Nothobranchius furzeri: one gene and its partners. The protein of the gene in region 3 interacts with the protein of the main gene of each other region in a biochemical or structural test. Links are inferred from orthologs where the notes say so. Each region holds a gene or a part of one and is shown on either strand. Other genes may lie near its edges.

The links.
Region 1: the proteins of gtf2e1 (region 3) and taf6 form a complex in vitro, tested with the Homo sapiens proteins (2 studies listed by BioGRID). The link is inferred for Nothobranchius furzeri from reciprocal best matches to the Homo sapiens genes GTF2E1 and TAF6.
Region 2: the proteins of gtf2e1 (region 3) and gtf2b form a complex in vitro, tested with the Homo sapiens proteins (2 studies listed by BioGRID). The link is inferred for Nothobranchius furzeri from reciprocal best matches to the Homo sapiens genes GTF2E1 and GTF2B.
Region 4: the proteins of gtf2e1 (region 3) and ercc3 form a complex in vitro, tested with the Homo sapiens proteins (2 studies listed by BioGRID). The link is inferred for Nothobranchius furzeri from reciprocal best matches to the Homo sapiens genes GTF2E1 and ERCC3.
Region 5: the proteins of gtf2e1 (region 3) and tbp form a complex in vitro, tested with the Homo sapiens proteins (3 studies listed by BioGRID). The link is inferred for Nothobranchius furzeri from reciprocal best matches to the Homo sapiens genes GTF2E1 and TBP.
Region 6: of the proteins of gtf2e1 (region 3) and cdk7, one has a biochemical effect on the other in vitro, tested with the Homo sapiens proteins (3 studies listed by BioGRID, with this or other methods). The link is inferred for Nothobranchius furzeri from reciprocal best matches to the Homo sapiens genes GTF2E1 and CDK7.

Annotation. Positions count from the first base shown.
Region 1 is NC_091750.1:47,772,845-47,776,817, reverse strand, and holds the start of taf6 (transcription initiation factor TFIID subunit 6), read right to left. Parts: upstream 2,801-3,973; 5' UTR 2,603-2,800; intron 2,463-2,602; exon of another isoform or gene 2,441-2,462; intron 1,338-2,440; 5' UTR 1,336-1,337; coding exon 1,180-1,335; intron 1,092-1,179; coding exon 1,005-1,091; intron 926-1,004; coding exon 772-925; intron 688-771; coding exon 631-687; intron 546-630; coding exon 426-545; intron 331-425; coding exon 209-330; intron 1-208. Other genes in the region: mrps31 (small ribosomal subunit protein mS31), read left to right, coding at 3,455-3,549. UniProt on the Homo sapiens protein: The TFIID basal transcription factor complex plays a major role in the initiation of RNA polymerase II (Pol II)-dependent transcription.
Region 2 is NC_091751.1:71,399,246-71,401,410, forward strand, and holds the end of gtf2b (transcription initiation factor IIB), read right to left. Parts: intron 958-2,165; coding exon 824-957; 3' UTR 501-823; downstream 1-500. UniProt on the Homo sapiens protein: General transcription factor that plays a role in transcription initiation by RNA polymerase II (Pol II). Involved in the pre-initiation complex (PIC) formation and Pol II recruitment at promoter DNA.
Region 3 is NC_091754.1:12,358,441-12,362,683, reverse strand, and holds the start of gtf2e1 (general transcription factor IIE subunit 1), read right to left. Parts: upstream 2,801-4,243; 5' UTR 2,617-2,800; intron 1,920-2,616; 5' UTR 1,914-1,919; coding exon 1,624-1,913; intron 1,542-1,623; coding exon 1,384-1,541; intron 1-1,383. Other genes in the region: rabl3 (rab-like protein 3), read left to right, coding at 2,920-2,965, 3,685-3,776, 4,006-4,135, 4,223-4,243.
Region 4 is NC_091749.1:40,321,580-40,325,834, forward strand, and holds the start of ercc3 (general transcription and DNA repair factor IIH helicase/translocase subunit XPB), read right to left. Parts: upstream 2,801-4,255; 5' UTR 2,658-2,800; coding exon 2,630-2,657; intron 2,450-2,629; coding exon 2,253-2,449; intron 2,169-2,252; coding exon 1,932-2,168; intron 1,853-1,931; coding exon 1,803-1,852; intron 1,725-1,802; coding exon 1,589-1,724; intron 99-1,588; coding exon 1-98. Other genes in the region: gpalpp1 (GPALPP motifs-containing protein 1), read left to right, coding at 3,113-3,197, 3,299-3,410, 3,486-3,551, 3,657-3,906, 4,012-4,176. UniProt on the Homo sapiens protein: ATP-dependent 3'-5' DNA helicase/translocase. Binds dsDNA rather than ssDNA, unzipping it in a translocase rather than classical helicase activity. Component of the general transcription and DNA repair factor IIH (TFIIH) core complex.
Region 5 is NC_091749.1:35,004,844-35,008,203, forward strand, and holds the end of tbp (TATA-box-binding protein), read left to right. Parts: intron 1-1,370; coding exon 1,371-1,465; intron 1,466-1,666; coding exon 1,667-1,746; 3' UTR 1,747-2,860; downstream 2,861-3,360. UniProt on the Homo sapiens protein: The TFIID basal transcription factor complex plays a major role in the initiation of RNA polymerase II (Pol II)-dependent transcription.
Region 6 is NC_091757.1:44,652,888-44,656,981, forward strand, and holds the start of cdk7 (cyclin-dependent kinase 7), read right to left. Parts: upstream 2,801-4,094; 5' UTR 2,750-2,800; coding exon 2,684-2,749; intron 2,462-2,683; coding exon 2,402-2,461; intron 2,323-2,401; coding exon 2,289-2,322; intron 2,206-2,288; coding exon 2,138-2,205; intron 1,932-2,137; coding exon 1,863-1,931; intron 423-1,862; coding exon 312-422; intron 215-311; coding exon 96-214; intron 1-95. UniProt on the Homo sapiens protein: Serine/threonine kinase involved in cell cycle control and in RNA polymerase II-mediated RNA transcription. Cyclin-dependent kinases (CDKs) are activated by the binding to a cyclin and mediate the progression through the cell cycle.

The DNA of each region.
Region 1 (3,973 bases), on a different chromosome or scaffold from region 3:
ACTCTGAATTTGCAAATGTGGTATTCTGGCTACAGAGGGCGGTGGGGGTCTGAGTGACATTTCATTAACCCTGTAAAGGATCGTTTTGGCACAAACTGGCTCAAAAAATTATTCAAAACTATAAAAAGTTGCATAGTATCCCTTTATGCTACAGGACTGAATTATGAACATTTGGCCAACATGCATCAGAAAGTCAGGTAAGACGTACTGCTCTCTTGGCTTCACAGGAGCCCACACACGCCTCTGTGATTTCCTTGTAGTAGAGCTGCTGCTCTACAGAGAGCTCGTGAGTGCTACGTGGCTTCAGCCTGATGAGACCCTTCTCCTTTCCTGTACCAGAGGGACACAAAGACATGAGTGAAGTTAACACACATCATGATACAGAGGTGTCTAGCTTCTATTAGCAAACTGAAATAAACACTGACCTTTGCCATCTGGGGTTGTGGTGCTCTGGCCTTTGCCTTGAATCGTACCTTTCTCCTCCTGACCGGGTTTGACAACTTTCAGCGGCTCCGTGGATTCGGTTTTTTGTTGCTCTTTTGATGCTAACAAGTAGGAAAAAAAGTCTTGAGTGTTTTTAACATTTATAACCTCTCCCATGATAACAGATCAAACCTAAGTAGGGCTCACCTGGTGGAGGATTTTCAGGAATTGAAGGTTGCACCCCTTCAATACTTAACCAGTGAGCTGTAGATTAAATTATAAAATGTATTTGATAAATGAGCTAATTTAATATCACAAAACAGCATATAATCCTCCTAATCCGAGTACCTTTGAGAGACACATCTAGAGGAACTCTTGGGAGAGGTGTGTTTATAATATCGCTGAGATCAACCTCCTTTTCCTCATAGAAATGAAGCTCTCTTCCACCTCCACTTGCAAAGCGAAAAGGAATAAACTCCTGTGACTGGAACCCATACAGGGGCTGAAAAAGAAACAAATTTCTTAAAACAGAAAATTCACACCCAATTCATCCTTCGGGTATAATAAGCGCTCTTTATTACCTCTACATTTTTTAGTTTGAGAGCATTGTCGATGTCACTCGTGGTTAGTTTTCGTCTCTTCCCATGATGCATGAATTTCAGAGCATCCTGTGTAAAGAGAAAAATATCAAAAAAGCACTAAATAATTCACACATCATACAAATTATAACACCTACATTAATAACCATTAATTTACCTGTGCAATTTCCTTTATTCTGTAGCTGACCTCTTCACTAAGAGCTACACAACTGTCTTCCTGTAACTGCCCGACTCCCACAGACTCCGCCATGGCCTTCATCGACTCTGTTGGCAGAACGACTGAACACTGCTTTTGCCTGCGTTCCTCCGCCATGGCTGAAATAACAAAACGAGACAGTACGATGCTGAGTTTCTTTACTTAATCATTTGGCAATTCGACAACATAATGTTTATTAATGAAGACATTTGATGAGTCCCAATCACAGTGTTCTGAGTTAATTCCGACAAAGACTACAGTGCTGGACCAACAATGTAATGCATATTACCTTAGAAAGAGAATTCTTAAGCTGTTTTCAGTTCATTACTACTGATGCATTTATTTTAAGACCACATCTAACAAAATCTCATTGATAATTGTTTTAATAATGACACAAAAACAAATCTGCCTACAAAATGTAATGTGTCTGAAATAAAAGAACACTACAGTGAAACTTAAATGGATCGACCCAAGAACATCTTAAACAGTTCACAACAAGCGTTTCACTGTGAATCAAAGACATTCAAGGGTAAAAATTGCTTTAAGAGCTTATCTAGTAGTGGCAGACAAAAGTTAGACGGAGTCGGATAAAAAAAAATCTCCCTGCAAGTCCAACTCCTACTTTCCCTTAGGACATATAACCAAGAAAAAGAACAATGCTTGTGACAACATAGTAGTACATATGTACCGTTTGAACTTTTGTACCAATATTGATTGTTAAAATTAGTAATTTATTAATACTAGAAAGTGGGTAGATGTTAACAAAAGCACAAAACAACAACACTTACAAAAAACTGGACTCTAAAGCAATATTTGTGTCTTTGGAGCTTTTTTTATACTGACAGCTCAGATCAGACGTTAAACACTGCTGTTAATTATAGTATTCCACATAAAAACAAAGCTTAGAAAATCTTATTCACATAAACAAAAACATAACCCTATTTTAGAGCAACAGCTCAAATAAAATAACAGAAGGACGTTCATCTCTACTGGATAAATTATATCAACTTAAAATGTTTAAACATCAAACACACGTTATCACAACACGACTAAACTTAACACGTCTTGATACCATTGCTTCCACAATGTAAAAGAAAAATTGCAGAAAATGTGAACTCAAGTTTTTCAAATAAACACTTAATGCATGTAAACAGACGGAGCTCCGAGGAGCGGGTAAGCAGTCTGACAGAACAAGCAGAAGCATCACCAAGAATAAACCTACACTCTGCCAAACGCTTCAGCTTAACCACGTCACAAAGTTGTCTAAATCTGTAGGCTTTGGGTGCTGCATTGTCTTTAATAACGACAAGTAGTTGCGGTAAATTTGATGCTTGTTAGCTTCTATGCTAATAATGTAGCTGCCGTTGACGGTCATTTTTTTTACCTTTATGAAGTCGTTTACGTCTTTCTCGGTTAACGCGAGAGTTTAAACGAACATAAAATATCAATGTTTATAACAAGAATACTTTCGTAGAGCTAGTTTTTCATTGTTAAAATCCATCTTTAAATGTTTAGAGCTAAGTTGAGCACGGACTGCTGCTGAAACATCCGTTTATGAATTAGCGCTAGTATTCTGTCGCCATTTTGAGTCACGTTCAGACTATGAAATCGCGCGAGACTACGTTGACAGCTGAAGCAGCTGGCAATTTCTTTTATGTCCAAATCGATTGTTCATATCCAGCCCAGAGACACAAACACATTTGAATATTTATTTTTGAGTATTCACATGTAATATTGTTTTATTCACAGTATCATAACGAACAAAGCCACTTTACTGCGAGGATCAGCTATTTTTGGCACAATTCTGACAGGTGTTGTGCTCGTAAATGCACCCCTGCCACGAGAAGCACACAGTCTGTAGGATGCCATCCAGTCAACAGACGGACCTAAATTTCCTGTGTTTTTCAACAACCTTAACAAACTACAAATAATTGAATGTGGTATTTATGTTTACCGCGGTGTTTAATGACGGATTAATGATATGGAAAAGTATTGAAGTACCTATAATTGCTGTTTATCTTCAAATAAAAAAGCATATTGTGAAAACAGATGTATATACCAAAATTAAACACAAGGGTTCATTTTTTACTTGAAAATTCAGCATTCAAATCAATGAGCGGGAGCGTCTTTCGGCACGACACCGGAACGAATGTTGGTCTTACGTTTCAAGGGGAGGCTTCATGCTGTAGAAACGAAGGGGACTCGGAAACGTGGAAGGACATTACTAAACACAATTATGTACCGATTTGTATCCCGGACTGTGTGTTTGGCACGAAACCCCTCATCCTGCGTTTACGAGTCGTGTCTTCCTAAACGCGAGAAGGTTTCACGGTGAGTGTTCGGTGTGAGCCGAGAGGAATAGCAGCATCGGAAGTATGTTGGAGCATCGGAAGTAGCTGTGATGTGCTGGTGTGTCCTTGCAGTCTAAATGTAATATTGGAGAGAACGATTGTGCCTTTTGCACTTCTAATATAGAAACTGAGATACATTTATTTTTCACATGCATCTTTACCAAAAATTTCTGGGATAGTTTTCACTTGTGGTTAACGCAATATATATCTTTATCGATATATATTGTTATGATTTCTGCAGGTTGATATTGAGCTAGGTTAATATTATTGTTTCTGTTTGTACACCTGCTTTTTTTTTGTCATGCTCAGAATTCAACTGTAAATATTGACTCTTATGTAAGCCTGTAAGCTTCATTGGTTAAATAAAACTTGTTAAAAATGTGTTGGTGTGTCAGATGTAATTC
Region 2 (2,165 bases), on a different chromosome or scaffold from region 3:
ACCTCCACAAACATCTGGACCACTGCGGCTTCCCGCAACAGAACCGGAAATTAGACTCCTTAACCTCTGGCGCCCCCTACTGGTCACTGATTCATTTCATTACGTCAGAAATCAGCAGTAAAGTTCCAGCTGAACCAAAACTTCATTTAAATCCGTTAAAGTTCTTCGTACGCTGTCCCGTCTCACCGCAGAGGAGCTGATTTACACAACATGTGGATGCAGTCGAGCTGAAAGCACTGATTCTAGCAATAGTTGTCAGGATCTACATTTCTTCATTATGCAAATAGATTGTACAAAATGTTTTTTTATCTATGTGCATGTTGTCTGATGTAAACTGTATGAATGGTACATAAATGACTTAATCACAACCTTGGTGCATAAAAGCGTTTTTGCAGCCCGTGTGGTGATGACATCACCCGTTCACGTCTGGGTGGACGTCTGTTCTCAGTGAGAGCTCAGCTGGGACCCGTCGCTGGAAACGAGACTTTAGTTTTATTAAATTCATGAAAATCGTTTATTTTTAAATTACTTGGAACAATTCCAACAAAATAGAACCTGAATCCCCAAAACAAAAGCCTCATGTTTACAGTATGAAAACAGCCTAAACCTGCAAGCATCAGTGGCATCGCTCATCTGGACACACACGGTACAGCACACACACACACACACACGATACTGTACGTACAGTCTGCAAGCTGTTTAAGCACTGGAATGTCTGCTGCCGTCGGGCTGGAAGTGGAAAACTGTTCAAGTCCAGAAGGGAAATAAAAAGCTAGAAAAACTCGAGTACAGCAGAGGAACGCCGCCTGAGCCAGACGACTCCTCACAGCTGGGGCAGCTTGTCCACAGGTGTGTCGAATTTGAAGTCTGGGGGGAAAAGCTCTGCGGCACGTGGGTAGATGAGTCGGTAAGACTGTCTGATTGTGACGTCTGCCACGCCGGCAATGTCACCAATTTCTGTGGAAGAACAGGAAACGGTTAGAGAACGTTGGGAGCTGGAGCTGATGTCCCAGGTGGGATTTTCCCAGGATTCATGGAGACGAGTCGAGCGGAGGGCACTGCAACTGATGGTCGGGGTGTCTGCCCAGCCTATGGAGCCCCCAAAGGGACAAAAACCTTCTGTCTCCTCCGTAATAGTTACTGAAACAAGCGTAAACTGTAGCAATGCTTTACATTAAAGGAGAAAACATGAAGTCATTTCTAGAACATTGTCTAAAAATGCAAATGAGTTTGTGTCTTAGAACAACCGTTTTACGTGGGACAGGAAATCCGTTGAAGGTTGAGGACATAAGGAGCTACTTTCCAATGAAACGTGTACATCACCTAAAGCTAGGTTTGCTAATGAGTTCATATGAATGTGATTGCTAGCGCTCGGCTTTAGCGCTAGCATACAGCAGGTCCATCATCTGTAACCCGTCAGAAATCTGCAGCCTTGAGCAGAGACAAGTTCAGCCTAGAGAGAGTGGGAGTGGCTTATCTGTCCTTTCTCTTCCTCTACATGTTGAATGTAATGTGTATCCCAGCTGGATTTCCCTTTAACCAACCCAGAACCAGGGGTCAGGTCTACTGGGTTATTTATCATCCTCATCTCTCCGTACAGCAGGTTAAACAACTGTTCCACCACTGGCTTATTAGCAATATTAAGAGTGATCAACAGTTATTAATTATCATGATCACTAATATTAAGATGAATAGTTATGAGGCACCACCTCACTAACAGAGCCTGGTCTCTTCTGAAACAGAATTTAGGGATGTCCCGTTCCGATATTGGATAACTTCCAATATCGATATTGGAAGTTATCCAATATCGATATTGGAAGTAATCCAATATCGGCCCAAAAACAGTATCGGATTATATCTGCCGGCATTAAAAGTCTCCGATATAAGCGGTCCGTTAAGATTCACATTTTTGTAAATAACAGTTAAGAAAAAAACTCGTGTTTTTCTAACTTACTGTTATTGGCTCTTGTTCTCTGATTGGCTCTTGTTCTGATTGGCTCTTGTTCTCTCATTGGCTCTTGTTCTGATTGGCTCTTGTTCTCTGATTGGCTCTTGTTCTCTGATTGGCTCTTGTTCTCTGATTGGCTCTTGTTCTCTGATTGAGTAACATCACTGGATCAAGCCTTTCATACATTCCGCACTACGAAACAGGTGAACGTTTGTGT
Region 3 (4,243 bases):
AGAATGCTTTTTATCTATTTATTTTAAGAAACACAAGGACACTTTATAGCCAAAAACACAAAGAAACTAGGTTAAAAACAGCAAAAAATACAAAGGAACATTAAAAATACTAACTAGATAATAACATCAGGGCAGTTGGAAATAAGTGAGTTTTTTAGGCCTAGTCCACACGTAGCCGTTTTTTTTAAACGAATATCCGCCCCTCCAAAAACTTGCATCCACACCACCTCATTTAAAAAAAAAAACTCTGTCCACACGTACCCGGATAAATACGTTGTTAAGGACATGCCAGACCTGTAGGCGGCAGTACTTCCCCCGTTCTTAACCTCGTCCTTCGTCTGTGGTCTTCTGCAAGGATCAGTAATTCCACTTGCAAAAACAAACAAGCAAAAAGCGCTTGGACAATTGATGGATCGGGTAGTGACAGAGCGCAGCTCTGAGGGCATCCATGCTGTCGGCTAGTGTAAACACAGGTCGCACACGTGATGTCAGCATTTTTTGTCGCGGAAAGTGACGTTGCAGACCTTAAAACTCCGGTTTTGTCTGTCCACACGCAGACACCCAAAACGGAGAAAACGCAGATCTTCACTTTGGCCGGAGTTTTTAAAAAGATCCGTTTTTGTGTGAAAAAACTCAGTTTTCGTGTGAAAAAACTCTGTTTTCGTGTGGATGACAGGCCAAAACGTAGAAAAATATCTACGTTTTGGCAGATCCCGGCTACGTGTGGACAGGGCCTGAGTCTAGGTTTAAAGGTGGAGAGCAAGTCAGTTACAGACGGCTTGAGGGAGAGAATTTCAGAAATGAGTAGAACAGATGAAGCTCTGCTCCCCATAGTGCTGAGACAGAATGAGGGAACAGAAGCGGAAGATCTGAGGGAATGAATGGGAGAGACGATGTGAATGAGGTCAGACAGGTATGGGGCAAAGGTTATGGATGGCTTTAAAGGTGAGAAGGATTTTGAATTCAATGTGTTAACAGGAAGCCAGTAGAGCTGCTGGAGGACAGGGCTGCGTGCAGCTGAGTTCTGCACCAATTGGAGCTTATTTTCATTCAGACATAATTTAAAGTTTGTATGTAAAGTTTAATAGCTCCGTTCATTAAAACAATGTACTAAATATTTAAAAAATGGCTTTGTACATGAACTTGATTTAGTAAATGCATTTGCCTTCACTGCCATCTAGAGGCAAATTGCTCAGAATGCAATCAAAATAATCAAACTGCAAACCATTTGATATTTTATATCAATATTCAGTGAACAGATTTGGCTTGATTTTAGCTTGAATATTTACCAGAGTTTCCTAGAAGATTTTCACAAAACTACCAAGAAAAAAACATTTCTGAGCTTAATGAAAACAATGAACATGATTATTCATGAGAGCGTACCCGTCATAGGATCAAACAGCTGATTCGCCTCCAGGTCAGTGAACGTAGAGAAGCAGCAGGGGCACCTAAAGGAGGCCCGGTTAGTAGAGTCTCGCTCATCCGTCTCGATGCGTCTTCGCATGTGATCCAGTTTGTACTTTACAACATTGACCAATAGCCTAAATAAAATAAAAAAACACTATATTTATAAATCCAACATATGTCAAGTTAAATAAAAAAAATCTTAAGGAATCCTAAAACCTGTAGTTGATAAAATAGTAGTTGTGTCGCGTTGTTTTGCCATCAGGGGCCGTCTCCACTCTCATGCGGCACTTTACAAATTTGTCTGATTTCAGAGTGTTGAGCACAGAGCGCAGCTGTTTCCGGTCAAACTTGAGCAGCTCCAGCATGTCCTCCTCCCGCACACAAGGGTTGCGAATGAGCACATCCAGGGCCAAGGCATGCTCTACACCATAAAATCCCCTCACAACCTGCTTAGCTAGCCTCTTCAGTGAAGCAGGGACCTCGGTTAGAAGCTCTGGCTCAATCATCTTGGGCTGTGGAGGGAAACGCAAATATTAAAACTGCTAATGAGTTGTTTTCTTGGGCACATAAACAAAAAGATGGTGCTTTTTCAGGAGAAAGAATAAGTCAAATGTGTGACTGTTCATCCACATGGTACTCACTCCCTTTATGATGAAAATGTGATGTCAACCGTTTGCAAGTTCAATAACAAGCAAATTAACCATTAAACTCCTACGGATAGCCAAAAATATTATAAACACGGCTCCAAATATAAAACACTGATAATGTCCCTGATAGAATAAAATCGAAATTAACCAACAAATTAAATTAAAAGTGCCAGCATGATCCATCTGCTCACTAAAATAAAACTGATCAAAGCTTTATTTCATTCAGTATTTTCCCCATATTGAGGTTTAAACATATAAATTACCTTAATACGTGATGAATGGATTCAAGCTTTTGATATTCCCCAATTTTTGCACAACATATACAAAACTAGAGGCATTTTCACCAATAACTTTATTACCTTAACGTTAAGCAACTAACAAAAGCGTCATAGTGATAAAAAAACAGCTAAATGACCGTGAAACTAGTCTGTGCCTAACTATTTAACTTTAGACTCTCCACACAAAAGCTCGTGAATGTTAACATTTCAAGTTTCCTAGCCTTGAATTCTAAACCAAAGGTAGCAGCCAGACTAGCTTCAAGCTAGCAGCCACCAAGTCTTACCTGTATTCCTTCTGTTCCACCCCGGATACTTGAACCGCTCCTTAACTCATTTCAACCTGATGTTTACTACTAGTAACTTGCCACAACTAAAAGTTACAGAAAACTTTAGCAAACTTGGATTTTCTTTGAACGTCAAGCTAGCTACCTTGATAATCAACGAGTTGTCTCGCGCTTACCGGAACAGGAACCAGAGGGTTTCTTGAGTGACGTTAAATTTGACCAATCCCGATATCCAGAAATTAGTCTTCTGGGAGGGGCTTAGATGTTGTTGTACCGGTTCACTCTGACGTTAGCAAAAAAAATATGGCGTCTCTTGACAGGGTTAAGGTACTAGTTTTAGGAGATTCTGGTAAGTTTCTTAAGTAGTTTACCTATTGACCCATCACATATTACACTTTTGTACATTTAAAAATGCGTCTTTAATATTAATGCGTTTCTTTCATTTGTAAATATCTTAGAGGCTGAAATTATCGAGTTAAAATCGTCAATCATGACTTAGCTGTGCTGCAAAACAAAAATTCGGGTAATTCAAAACGCATCATAAACTCATTATTATTTTTGATGAAATAACGGATTAAATCCAAAGAGCTTCCGTTAGATTACTGGCCAAGTAAAGGACATTTGTTTGCAAGAAGACACTTAGTTCGAGATAAATCAAGTGAAACGGAGCCAAGTGTTTGGGAAATGTGCCCAAATTAAAGGCAAACTCAGTCAGACTCTTTAAAATAAAAAAATAAAGAAAAACGAGACGTTATTTTAAAGTTACAAACGAGTTAATTTGTGATAGACGATGTTTCAAAGCAAGATGCTTCAAAGAAAGCACAACATTTGTTTTAGTGTTATTATATTTGGTTCAGTTTTTAAATGCCTTTGGATGGTCATACGTTGGAAGGATTTACTATAAATATTATTTTATTTAAACTTAATGTTGTCTTAGTCCGTCATGATGTATTTGTTGATAGTTCTTAGCAAACTGGATTCTTAAACACACTCAAAACTAATACAGGAAACTGCCACAGGAGTTGTTGGTTTGTGTCAGCTCTGTTCTCACATATTTGTCTTTTTTAGGCGTCGGCAAGAGTTCCTTAGTTCATCTTCTGTGTCATAATCAGGTTTTAGGGAACCCATCTTGGACTGTTGGCTGCTCTGTGGATGTACGGGTAAGCTCATCTGTATTTCTTTAGTTCAGTCAACTTTTGCATAGTGGTTGTGTCAGCGTCAACAAAAATAATCTGTATTTTCCCTTGTTAAATTTACCTCAGTGGTTTATTCTGTCATCACACAATAATCCAGTTGTAATAGCTGCTTTATTCCAGTACAGTTGGTTAATTTTAACATATCAATTTGTCGCTGGTATAATGCAGATTTATGACATTTGTTCACTTATAGATTCATGACTACAAAGAGGGAACCCCCGAGGAGAAAACCTTCTATATTGAACTTTGGGATGTTGGAGGATCTGTTGGCAGCGCAAGCAGTATCAAAAGCACAAGAGCCGTCTTTTACAATTCTGTTAACGGTACAGGAGGTACACTTACAAGTTTAAACAAAACAGACATCGCAAGTAGTTTAAAAATTGTGTTTTTTTTGTTTTTTTTTTTTCTAGGAATTGTTTTGGTGCACGATT
Region 4 (4,255 bases), on a different chromosome or scaffold from region 3:
CTGAAGATGTCCTCAGGGACCTGCTGGTTTGAGGTCTGTCCATCAACAGGCTGCTGTGAGGTGGATGGGTCTCCTTTTTCTTGAACAAACTTAGAAATCTGGCCAAAAAAGAGAAATGTAATAGGAAAAATAAATATTTTACACTTTTTACGTAACGGGGGTTTAGTTTAAGAAAATGGGAGACGTTTCCCAAAAATCTACCAAATGTTTCATTTTATACACTAATTATTTCCTAAATACATCTCTAGAATAAAACATTCAACACAGTGACATTTTCATTCAGTTCTATTTTGAACTTCTGCAAACCCCTGTAAATTCAAATATCATCCATCCATTTTCTTTTGCGTATCCAGGGTCATGTCACGGAGGCAGCAGCCTAAGCAGGGAGGTTCAGACTTCCCTCTCCCCAGCCACTTGGGCCAGCTCCTCCAGGGGAATCCCATGGCATTCCCTGGCAAACTGAGAGACATAGTCCCTCAAGCATGTCCTGGGTCTTCCTTCAGGTCTCCTCCTAGTTGGACATGCCCGGAAAACCTCACCAGGGAGGCATCCAGGAGCTGGAGATCACGTTCTGATGAAGCCAACAGGACAACATCAACTGCAAAAAGCAGATATCTGATCCTTAGAACACCAAAATGGATTCCCTTATAACCTTGGCTACACCTACAAATCCTGTTCATAAAAGTTATGAGCAGAATCGCTGACAAAGGGCAGCCTTGGTGGTGCCCAACTCTCACCGGAAACGATCAAACTTATGGGCTATTCCCATCTGTATCGGGTCGGCCCGGGCCGGGTAGCCCCAGTTGGTCCCAGCCTGGCCCGGTTGATTTCAAACATCCTTGTCTTAAGCCCATGTGGGCTGATTCTACCCACCAATCAGAGGCTTGCTCTAATGGAAGGTGTGAATTTGCTGTCAGCAGTGGGTGTGTTGGCCCTGGTCGGCCTGAAGCAGACCCCCTCGAGAAGAGGGCTGAGAATGAGCCTTGGTTGGCCCGGAAAAATACCAGGCCACCCAGATATGTAAACAACCTACGCTACCCGGCCCGGGCCAACCCGGTACAGATGGGAATGGCCCATCTCTGTCTGCAATGTGGACCAAGCTCTGACACCAGTCATACAGGGACCTGACAGCCTGTATCACAAGGCCTGGTACCCATACTCCCAAAGTACCCCCCACAGGGCCCCCTGAGGGACAAAATCAAAAGCCTTCACCAAATTCACATTCACAAAGCACTGGTTTGGTAGACTGGTTGGGCGAATTCCTGCGCACCCTCCAGAACCTCCCTAAAGAACTGGTCCAGTGTTCCACGGCCAGGACAAAAACCACATTGCTTATCCTGAATCTGAGGTTCGACAATCCACCGGACCCTCCTTTCCAGAACCCCTGAAATAGACCTTACCAGGGAGGCTCATGAGTGTGATCACCCTGTAGTTGGAAAACGCCCTGCGGTCCCCCTTTTTAAACAGGGGGACCACCACCCCAGTCTGTGAATCCAGTGGAACTGCTCCCGAAGTCCACGAGATATTACAGAGCTGCGTCAACCAACAAATCCCCACAACATCCAGATCCTTAAGGAGTATGACATACTGCTGATTTGCTGTGGACAACTTCAGTAATAAGCTCAGGGTCTGCTCCATCTGCAGAGCGAAGACGACATTCACGGATCACGTTATCCTGCAGGAGACGCTGAATCACATCAGGGAAGGTGCTCTCTACAAAATACCTAGAAGAGGGAAAACACAAGTGAATAAAACCGCTGAAGAAATAAATGTTTTTGCAGAGAGAGACGAAAGACCTTTACCTATTGTGTTTGAGCACAAGCTTAACTTTCCCATAGCTCACAGTGCAAAGCTGAAAGAGGCAGAAAAATACAACAGATGAGCAAAAAAATAAACTGTTACTATAGGATCACATCCTGTCTATCTCTGACCTCAATGAACTTGATGATTCCATCAGGTACAGATGTTTTACTGAGCTTCTGCAGGTACTCTATAATATCAGTGGTCTGCAGCCCCACACTGACTGCTGCATATAAGGAGTATGCAGTCAGCTTGTACTCATGGATGTGGTTAGGCCTGCACACTGGCTCTGCAATAGCCACTAAGAAATCCTGGGCATACTTATATACTGGTGAGAACGCTTCCAGAAAGATGTGTCCATCTGGAGCCTGTAGAGAAGTGAGAACAAGATTTCACCTCTAAGAGATTACTGAGGTACAGCTGTGACTATAAGCAGCAATGACGCATCATACCACCCAGAGAGGACGGGAGTTGTGGTCATTCTTCAACTGCATCTGTGCGCGGTAGTCTTTGGCTCCATATTCATCCAGTTTTGTGCCAGATTCATCCACCTGCTTCCCTGCAGCAGCAGGTACAGCTTCCTGAGACTCCCCGACTGTCACCTCTTCATCGTCATCTTCCTCATAGTAGCGTCTTTTGAACTTCTTCTCTATAGCAGATCCACAAAACAATCATTAACATTACTAAAACATTTTAAAAATCAGTAGTTATGTTAAGATGCCATGGAATCAAAACTACATTTTGCTCAGACGTATTTGCGCTAGTATATTGCAGGTTAGCGTTCGGTGACTAGCTCCACGCAGATTAAAATGAAACGTTACCAACTTACCTCGATCTCCTTTATCTTTTTTACCCATTTTGAAAGGTTTACATGGGTAAAGTCTTAAAAATAGTCCCAAATGTATTTAGGTAAACACACAATACGTGTCTTTAAATGATATGAAGGAATAAACGATGTCTAGACTGTGCACTAAAGTGGAGCTCTGAATAACAAGCGTTTCCGTTCAAAAACTTTCAAAATAAAAGTTTTTATATTTCCGTTTTTGCCACAGAGACAGTGTACAGTTGATTATTACTTATATTTACGATAGTTTAATACAATTTACGAAGCTTTAAAACTACTTATTCAAAAATGTGTTTATTAAAATCTTAATTAAAAATAAATCACAATAGCAGGTGCATTTGTTTTGGCAGAACACTTTGAAGACTTCCGCTGCTGCTCTATTGTTTACTTCCTAGGTTAAAAGCCATAGAGTAAATACAGGTTTTGTTTAATATCCCCTGAAAATACGTAACGAAATTGTTAGCAAAGATGTCCTCTGATAAAATTATAGGACCTGCTTTGCCTCCGATATTTGGAAATGAGAGCTCTGAGGACGACGTTGACGAAAAAGATTGTAAGATACGTTTTGTTAGAAGCTAACGTGTTGTGGCAATTGATCTTTTCGGGTTGCTCTGTTCACTTTTAGCTAACAGTTTTATTTATGTCGCCGTCTAGTTGCTGGTCCTGCTTTACCTCCTGGGTATAAACGGGGTGAACAGTCTAGCTCCTCAGATGAAAGTGAACCAGAGGTGGCAGCTAAGCGAGCCAAGACTGGGAGAGCTGCAGAGTGAGTTCTGGTTCTGGTCTCATTTGTTAGTTAAAAGAAATAGAACGAACTTGACTAACATGTGTTTCTGAACAGGGATGATGATGGGTTCTTTGGACCAGCTCTGCCTCCAGGATATAAAAAGCAACATTCACCAGAAAGGTGAGCAGAAACATCAATATTCTCTAGTAACATAAATAGCACGTGTAAGGACACTTCCTGTTTAGGATAACAGTGTGACATTTGTTTGTGATGGTATTTTCTCAGGGCACCTGTGTTGGGGCCAGCTCTGCCTCCTGGGTTCTGCAGGACTGAATATGACAGTGATGATGATGATGAGGAAGAAATTGTTCCAGGACCTGCCCTTCCTCGGGGCTACTGTCCCGAACCCTCCAGCAGCGAGGGAGAGGAGGAGGACGTGATTGGACCCATGCCTGCTAAAGGACCGATTCAAGATTCTGTTGCTCATGATTTTGAGTGCAGGGCACGAAGGATGAAAGATAAGCTAACAAGAGTGGTAATTTTTCTCTAACATTTTTCTCCTCATAATAATTAAATTATAAAAGGGGGCTGTTTCTTCTTTGTGTCTTAATGTGTTCTTGTTTGTCCTCTGCGTAATTAGGATGTTCCAGAGGTGGTAACTAGAGAAACGTGGATGACAGAGCTCCCACCAGAACTGCAGCACATTGGTTTGGGTGCTCGTACTTTCAAGAAAAGGTCAGGTCCAGAGAACAAGGATCGCTCCATTTGGACGGATACACCAGCAGACAGAGAGCGCAAGGCTAGGGTACCTAAAAAAATCACCCACCGCTTACAGTGTTCAACATATTAGTTAATGTATATTATTCCTCAGTATCAATGTTTGT
Region 5 (3,360 bases), on a different chromosome or scaffold from region 3:
TGATCTAAACTTTGCATCCTGTAACAAAAATACAGCACAAGTAGGGCTGGGGGTAAACGATTATTTTTAAAACGATTATTCTGACGATTATTTTATCGAATAGTCGACTATTCTAATGACTATTTAGAAAATTAATCTAATGATTATTTTTCTATTGCACAATTAACAAAAACCAGAAAATCTCAAATAAATTCCTCAAAAAAATTGATAAATTGTTACTGTAAGAGAATAAACACTACAGGCCTTCCATTTTGTATAACACTGCTTTTATTGTGTTGCGGTTGGTTATGTTCTGGTGACGTGTAGAACTTGGGAGTGCAGGCTGCTGCCTGAGAGGTGGTAGAAGATGGAGTGTCTCCACGCTGCTTTGTTTTGGTCACTTATGTGCGTGAGGCGAGTGGTCTTACGGGTTAAACCAAACTCAAGGTGATATTTTACACTAAACCGAAAACCCACAACACTCTAAATGTAATAAAAGGGAGATCTACACCACAAAAAAGATTAACTCTAAACCAAAACGTAACAGCTTATCCCAACGCAAGAAGCTGTTAGCGAAGATGCTAACAGTAGCTTTACCAACGTTAAGTTCAAGTTACCAAGTTTAAATAAACCAAAACACCCAGCAGCAAACAGACCAGCACGGAGGAGAGACTGCTACCACCAAAACAGCTCTCCTAATGTCTGAAAGAAGCTCCTTTATGAAGGGAGAAACGCTCCCGGTGATTTTCTACATCTGCGATAGAGACGGAGCAGCGCATCTGACCCCGGAAGTTGTTGTCCGTTGCCGGGAGACGAAGGCGGGCAAAACAGGAAAATAATCTAGTAGTGGACGGACATTGTTCCGGGTCTTCGGTATTTGGCGGAGATGTTAGTGAAGGCGGAGAAGAGGGCGAACTAGAGGAAAAACAGGCAGATTCCTCCTCTATTTACAAACTCCTGGGGATGCAACAAGTGGGCGCGGTGCGTCGACTTCCGGATCTGACGTCGACAAATTTTTAGAATCGAGCCGTCGACGTAGTCGAGGCTTCGCTACAGCCCTAAGCACAAGGGGAAGCTTCTCTGTCATCCTGGACATGATCATCTTGAGTTGAACTGAAAATAGTAGAAGGCTTATAAGTTCTGGTCAGAAACACACTGACAAGTCTTGTATTTTGTAAAATGATTTTGTCAAAATTGGGCAATATTATTGCTCCTTTATTCCAGATCATGTAGCAAGTATAATAACAGCATTGATACATTTATGGCCAATCCATAAGCAGCAAAAAACCTGATCTGAGCATCGCTAATGTTTGCAAAGATTTAATTAAAAATGGTACATTTTTTTAATTTAAAATTCATATAATTGTGAAAGTCTAACTTGTGTTTTGTAGCTATGAACCGGAGCTGTTTCCAGGACTGATTTACAGAATGATCAAACCCAGAATCGTCTTGCTCATCTTTGTTTCTGGGAAAGTAGTGCTCACAGGTAAGGCCCGAGCTCTCAGACGGGTGTATTTTTAGATTCTAGTTAAAGTATCACCTAATAATTTGGCACATTGTTTTGGATCTCCTTTTATTTTGAAAGGATTGTAATTTTTTTATTTAAAATAGAACAAGAGATTCTGTAAGTTTTCTAGATTCATCTTGATACTGATCCATGTTTCAATCTTTTTTGTTTTTCCTGAAGGGGCCAAAGTGAGATCAGAGATTTACGAAGCATTTGAAAACATTTACCCCATTCTGAAAGGTTTCCGCAAAACGACGTAGGACCTGGGGTTTCTTTTCCACCTCCTGAAACCTGATCCTCTTATTTCATTCATTATTTAATGTCACATTTTTAATGAGAAGGTAGACTGATGCAGGTGTTGGGAGTTTTTTCATCCATCTTTCTGTCTTCAATTTTTTTAATCATCATTTTAAAGGTTGTTCTTTCACTCTGACCATGTTTATTGTGTCCTGTGGTTGCAGGTTTTTGTTGTCCCATCTCATCCCCAACTGTACATATGACTGTAAAAAATGTAAAGTGTTGTTGAGCAGAAAAGCAGTTCGACGACTAGGACTGCTGGTTTTATGTGAAGCTGTTTTAAATACTTTTATACTCTCAGCTGTTAGCATTTGTTGACCTCTCTTTAAATCCCCTGCTGTACATGATACTTGGGATTTTAAATCCTATGCTTACTCCCTTAAGGTAGAAAATAATCCTGATTAATGACTTTTTTTTTACACTCATTGGGAGTAGACGCCCATTAACTCAAGCTGAGCTAATCTTTATTTGACTGGCCAAGTTGTCCATGAATGTTTGCTGCTGCTAAACAGTTAAGTTGTTTAGAGGCGTTTGATAACTTTCGACTTTGTCTGGTTGAAGTCGTGAAACAATCTTTCTGTTGAAAGAGAGAACTGGTTTGTTGTGGTTACAGGAAGAAAGTGTTTAATGGTTAAACTTGAATGTGTGTATATGTTCTTCTGTAATTAGAATGAGAAGTGATGCCAATCTTAAAGTCGATGCAGCTCTTCAGCGGGATTTCAGTAGGCTCAATATTGATATAAGGGAAAAAAAGCTCTTATGATTAATATTAATTTCAAACCCATGCAGTATAGTTTTAAAAATGTTTTTGGTTGTTTCAAATCAGCAGAATTTTGGCTGTTTGGCCTTTGTCTAAAATTAAAACTCAAGTAGGATCACATTGAAGTCATTGCTGGTGGTCTTATGTGTTATACGGTCAGCTAGTGACGTTTATGGCAACTAGTTAAAAGTCTGGTTTATTTAGTGACATGTTCAGTCTCCATCTTTGTCTCTTCTGTCTGATTTCTGTCCTCCCAGCAGACTCGAAGAAGTTTGGTCCATTGTTTTCTTTTCCACCCAATAAAAGTGTACATATGACTCAAGTCTACTTGGTTTTCTTTGCAGCAACATTTTACAGCTGAAGTCTCTTGCGTAAAACCAAAAGTCACCATGAAGAAATAAACTGTGAAGACTAAAATACTGAATCCCTGTATAGAAATAGTTTAGGGAAAACCTCTGGGTAAGAGTTAAAACATGTTGTAGTTGGATGTTAGAGCTGCAGAAAATACATAATTTCTCTGAATATCTGAAATAAAGTAATTTGTGTATTAAACAATACAATCATTCTTACAAAAGGAATTGTGGCTTATTTGATACCCATCATAAAAAAGACAAGTCAGGATTGTCTCCCATGTAACATCAGTCAAAAGAGAATCATTTGTAGGTGATTATGTTGGAACTGACATGTCAAAATCATTAAATTTTAAGAACAAGGGTGGTATGGGCTTCTGGTCAGGATGCTTCCTGGACGCCTCCTTGGGGAGGTGCTTCGGCATGTCCTGCCGGCAGGAGGCCCCCGGGTCGACCCAGGACACGTT
Region 6 (4,094 bases), on a different chromosome or scaffold from region 3:
TGTTTGATCTTTAGTGTAGAGGTGAGAAATTCTATTTTGTAAAATTAGATTAAAGCCAACAAAACGATCGTTGTCATTACTGCAGCGGCTCTGACCTGGTAACAACTTGATGAGTGTAGATTCTGTTGGGGCTTCCAAAAGCTTTGGCCAATCCAAAATCAGCCAACTTCAACACTCCGTTACTGTCTAGCAGCAGATTGTTGGGCTTCAAATCCTGAACGTATAAAGGAAAAAAGAAGCAATAATTCTAAATAATAAATCACCTCTGTGCATTTGCAGAATACGACAGAGTGGTGTTTAGGTGCTCGTACCCTATGTAGGACCCAATGTTGGTGCATGTACTCTAATCCTTGTAATGTCATGAGGATGTAGGCTTTAATATTGGCTGGAGTCAAGACTAGGCTTGTGTCTTTGATGATAACCTGAAAAAATAAAACGCACACAAAAAAATCTAAGCAAAACAACAAAAAATATGCTTATCTGACCCACACAAGGAAGCTTTAGAGAACTGAGATCAGACCAAACAGCTTCACTTTAACTACTCGACAAATCCCCAAAATGTCCGTAAAACTAAACATCTGTAGCTGATAGTTTAAACATTAACTGACTGAACCTAAAAATGTTTACAACATTATTGAAAAAGAATAGCCTCATAATTCACACATGCCTCCCCTAACTGCTGCCTGCCAGCTGCTAATGGCATAAATGTATTTGAGCCAAGAAGAGAGTGATATTGATTATTTGGAAGCACTTTTGTCTTTTTATTGCATCAGTAAAGTCTAATGTGTCTGAGGTGTGCGTCCGTCTGGAGTCTTGCACGTTAAAACGGAATGAAAAAGGAGAATGGGAGCATGAAAGAATAATTTTACTTTCATTTTAGTTGCTCCTTTTGTAAAGACATTTGATCTTGCAGCACACATCCTTATGTTACACGTTTCTCCCTAAACAAAACCTTAAACATCACAAATGTTCTTTATTTAATTCCAAAATTAAAAAGTCATTGAGGGAATGATTACTAGTGGTCCACAAATGCAAAAAAAAAAAAAAAAAAAAAAAAAAGAAGAAGAACGAATTTAACCCGACACAACACATGTATATACAATTTTATAATACCATGATTATTGTCTTTTTAATCAAAATTAGACCACAATTCTGTAAAGAAGTCACTTTCATTACTTACTCATTTGTATAAAAAAGTGCAATCATAACCACCTTTTCACCAAAATCCTGGGGAATGTTTAACTGAATCAATTTTTAAAGACTTTTTTGTTCTTTAAACCCTCAACCAAAAATTAAGCCTTAAATGGGAGAGCTATTTTACACGCTGATTGCTTATGATACTTGGATATACAGAACTAAAGTTAATTTAACCCTAACCCGACTTAGTGAAGACCATTTAATAGTACTTAAATTACAGGGGAAAAAAATCTAGTGCAAATATAAAAACAAGCTGTATGAATGTTCTATTACAGTGGTTCCCAACCTTCTTTCCATGGGGACCCACTTGCCTGTATCCAAGATGAGCCAGAACCCCCAACCACAACTTCTTCCAGCATCCACACATTAAAAATGATTAATTAAAAACTTTACACAGACATACAGATATTTGATTATACATTTGGGTGTGTCATTTGGATTTTAGAAATGTAATTCTTACAAAAACTACCTTGGTATTCTCACAACCTGAGCACAGACACATTTGTGGGGACCTCCAGCAATCCTGAGCAGGCCCCCATGGGGGGTCCCAGACCCTAGGTTGGAAACCACTGTTCTATTATATTAATGCGGAACTTCATCATATTCAGAAGTAATAATATCAGAGGGATAATTGTGCATATAATCAAAAACAGGAGGCAACTCACCTCCAGGTCTGTTTCCATAAAATCAAACACCAGGCTGATGTTTGATTTATGTCCAAATGCATCCAACAGCTACAACACATAGCACAGTAAATAACCAACACTGCATTTAAAAGAAACAAATTAATAACACGAGAATACCAAGATGCCTGATCAAACACACAGTGCCTCTTAAACGTTCAGACACACATCTACCCAAATTAAATAATTAGGTTGATTTTTCCAGATGTTTTACTGGAAATGTAGAGGACATAAATGCATGAACATAGTTTGAGTACCCCAATGATATTTGGATGATGCAGCTCCTGTAGCAGTTTGATTTCCCTGAGAGCAGTCCGATTTACACCTGCAAGAAAAGAACATTTATTTTCAATAAGATACAGCACGAGTGTTTGGTATGTGTGGGGCACAGGTGTGACTATGACTTACCATCTTTAGCTTCAGTTTTGTGACCAACTTTTATCTGAAAACAAGCAGATAATCAAATTTAACCCCGAACACCACAGTGTCCGATTAAAGCAGAAACTTCACTTTTTTTGTACCTTTTTGATGGCAACTATTGTGTCTGTCAGTTTGTCTCTGGCTTTGTAGACTGTGGCAAACTGAAGAGATGAAAGAAAGGTTATTAAAGGAGAGCATACAACGCGCTGAATGCTTTTAGAGCTAGTGTGATCACACCGAAGCTGCTGGGGCTTTGTTGACATTAGCTACCAGCTAACGCTTGTTATCAAGTTACTGAAAACGTTAAACAACAAAGCAAAAATAATAAAAGTGAGCGAAACGAAGAGTAGATATCGAAAACTTTGAAATAATTCTCTGCCTACCTGACCCTCTCCGAGAAAATCCAGTTTCTCGTATCGTTTCGCTCTGATTTTTACATCAAGCGCCATGGTAGCTAGCAGTAAGCTATCTTTTGGTCTGGTTAAAGGGCCAGAAAACTTCTTCCGGGGCAAAGGTGTCAGGCTTTAAAACTGAGCAACTGCGCCATCTACTGGTCAGGCTAAAACAATTTAATGTCAAAAGATGTGCAATTTTTTGGTTGAAAGAACACGTTCAGAATGATTTAAAATATAAACAGTTATTTAATACAAACTATGTAGGAATTGTTGTGACTTGTTCAGTCCCAATTAATGTCACCTAACTAAAAATCAAAATGTATTTCACCCTTTATTTAATCTTTTATTATTTTAAAATAAAGGATGAAATACATGTTTCTGATTTAGAGGAAAGACAACACAAATCTCATGGCAATTTGCCATTTTCCATTTGTTTTTTTTCATCCACCAGTTTTGACACTGGTCTCCTGGGAGCCTGTTCTGTCAGTTAGGAAGTTTTTGTGATCCATGCACCACTGAGCACATCTCTACATCCCATCACCATTCACTGTAAGATACCATAACATCCCACAGGATTAGGCACGGCTCCTTTGACCTTACTTGTCTTCTGTCTCAAATGCCCAAATTCTCACCCGTCAACACACACACACATTCAGAACACTCACCACTGACTTTCATTTTAATGTTAAGTTTGACAAGAGGAGTGTGAAGGATCAGCATGCCTAATACACCCCTCACCCCCCTCAGATGTATGCACATTCATGGTCTGACAGCTCACAGATGTGACTGACAGTATGTGGCTGTGCAGCAGAGAAGAGAGCAGTCTAGCCACACTTCAGTCCTTGCTGCCATCACATCATCAACTTTTCAGGACACAAATGCTGGCTTTGGTGTAGAAGAACTCTTATGGGTCTTGTATGAACCATTGTTTATTGCTCTGTCAAATACTTAGAATAACTGTTAAAAATTCAGCTTATTGTTTGTATCTGACCTTGCATAATGTGCAGTTTGTGCTAAATATCTAAGAAAACGGACAAGTGGAGGTCAAAAACAGAAACAATCCTGTCTTTAAAGACTGAGTCAAATCCAGCAAAGTCTTGACTGAGATGTAGATGATCCTACTGTTGATCATTGACTGCGTGTCAGGTTGGGACCACAAGCTTTTCCAGAATCACCTTGTTGGGATTAAAATTCTGATTTAATTAACAGATCAATACATTTAACAGGAAATTAATCAAACTTTGTGTTTTTGGACAGTCTGCTGGTATCTAAGAGTCTAAAGATGAAATTTTAGGGATGTTTGATATCACTTTTTCTGCCAATATCTGATAAAACGTAAGTCAGCTTCTTAATTTCCAATAACAATTTAAACCACACCAATAAACGCAATTAAACGTGT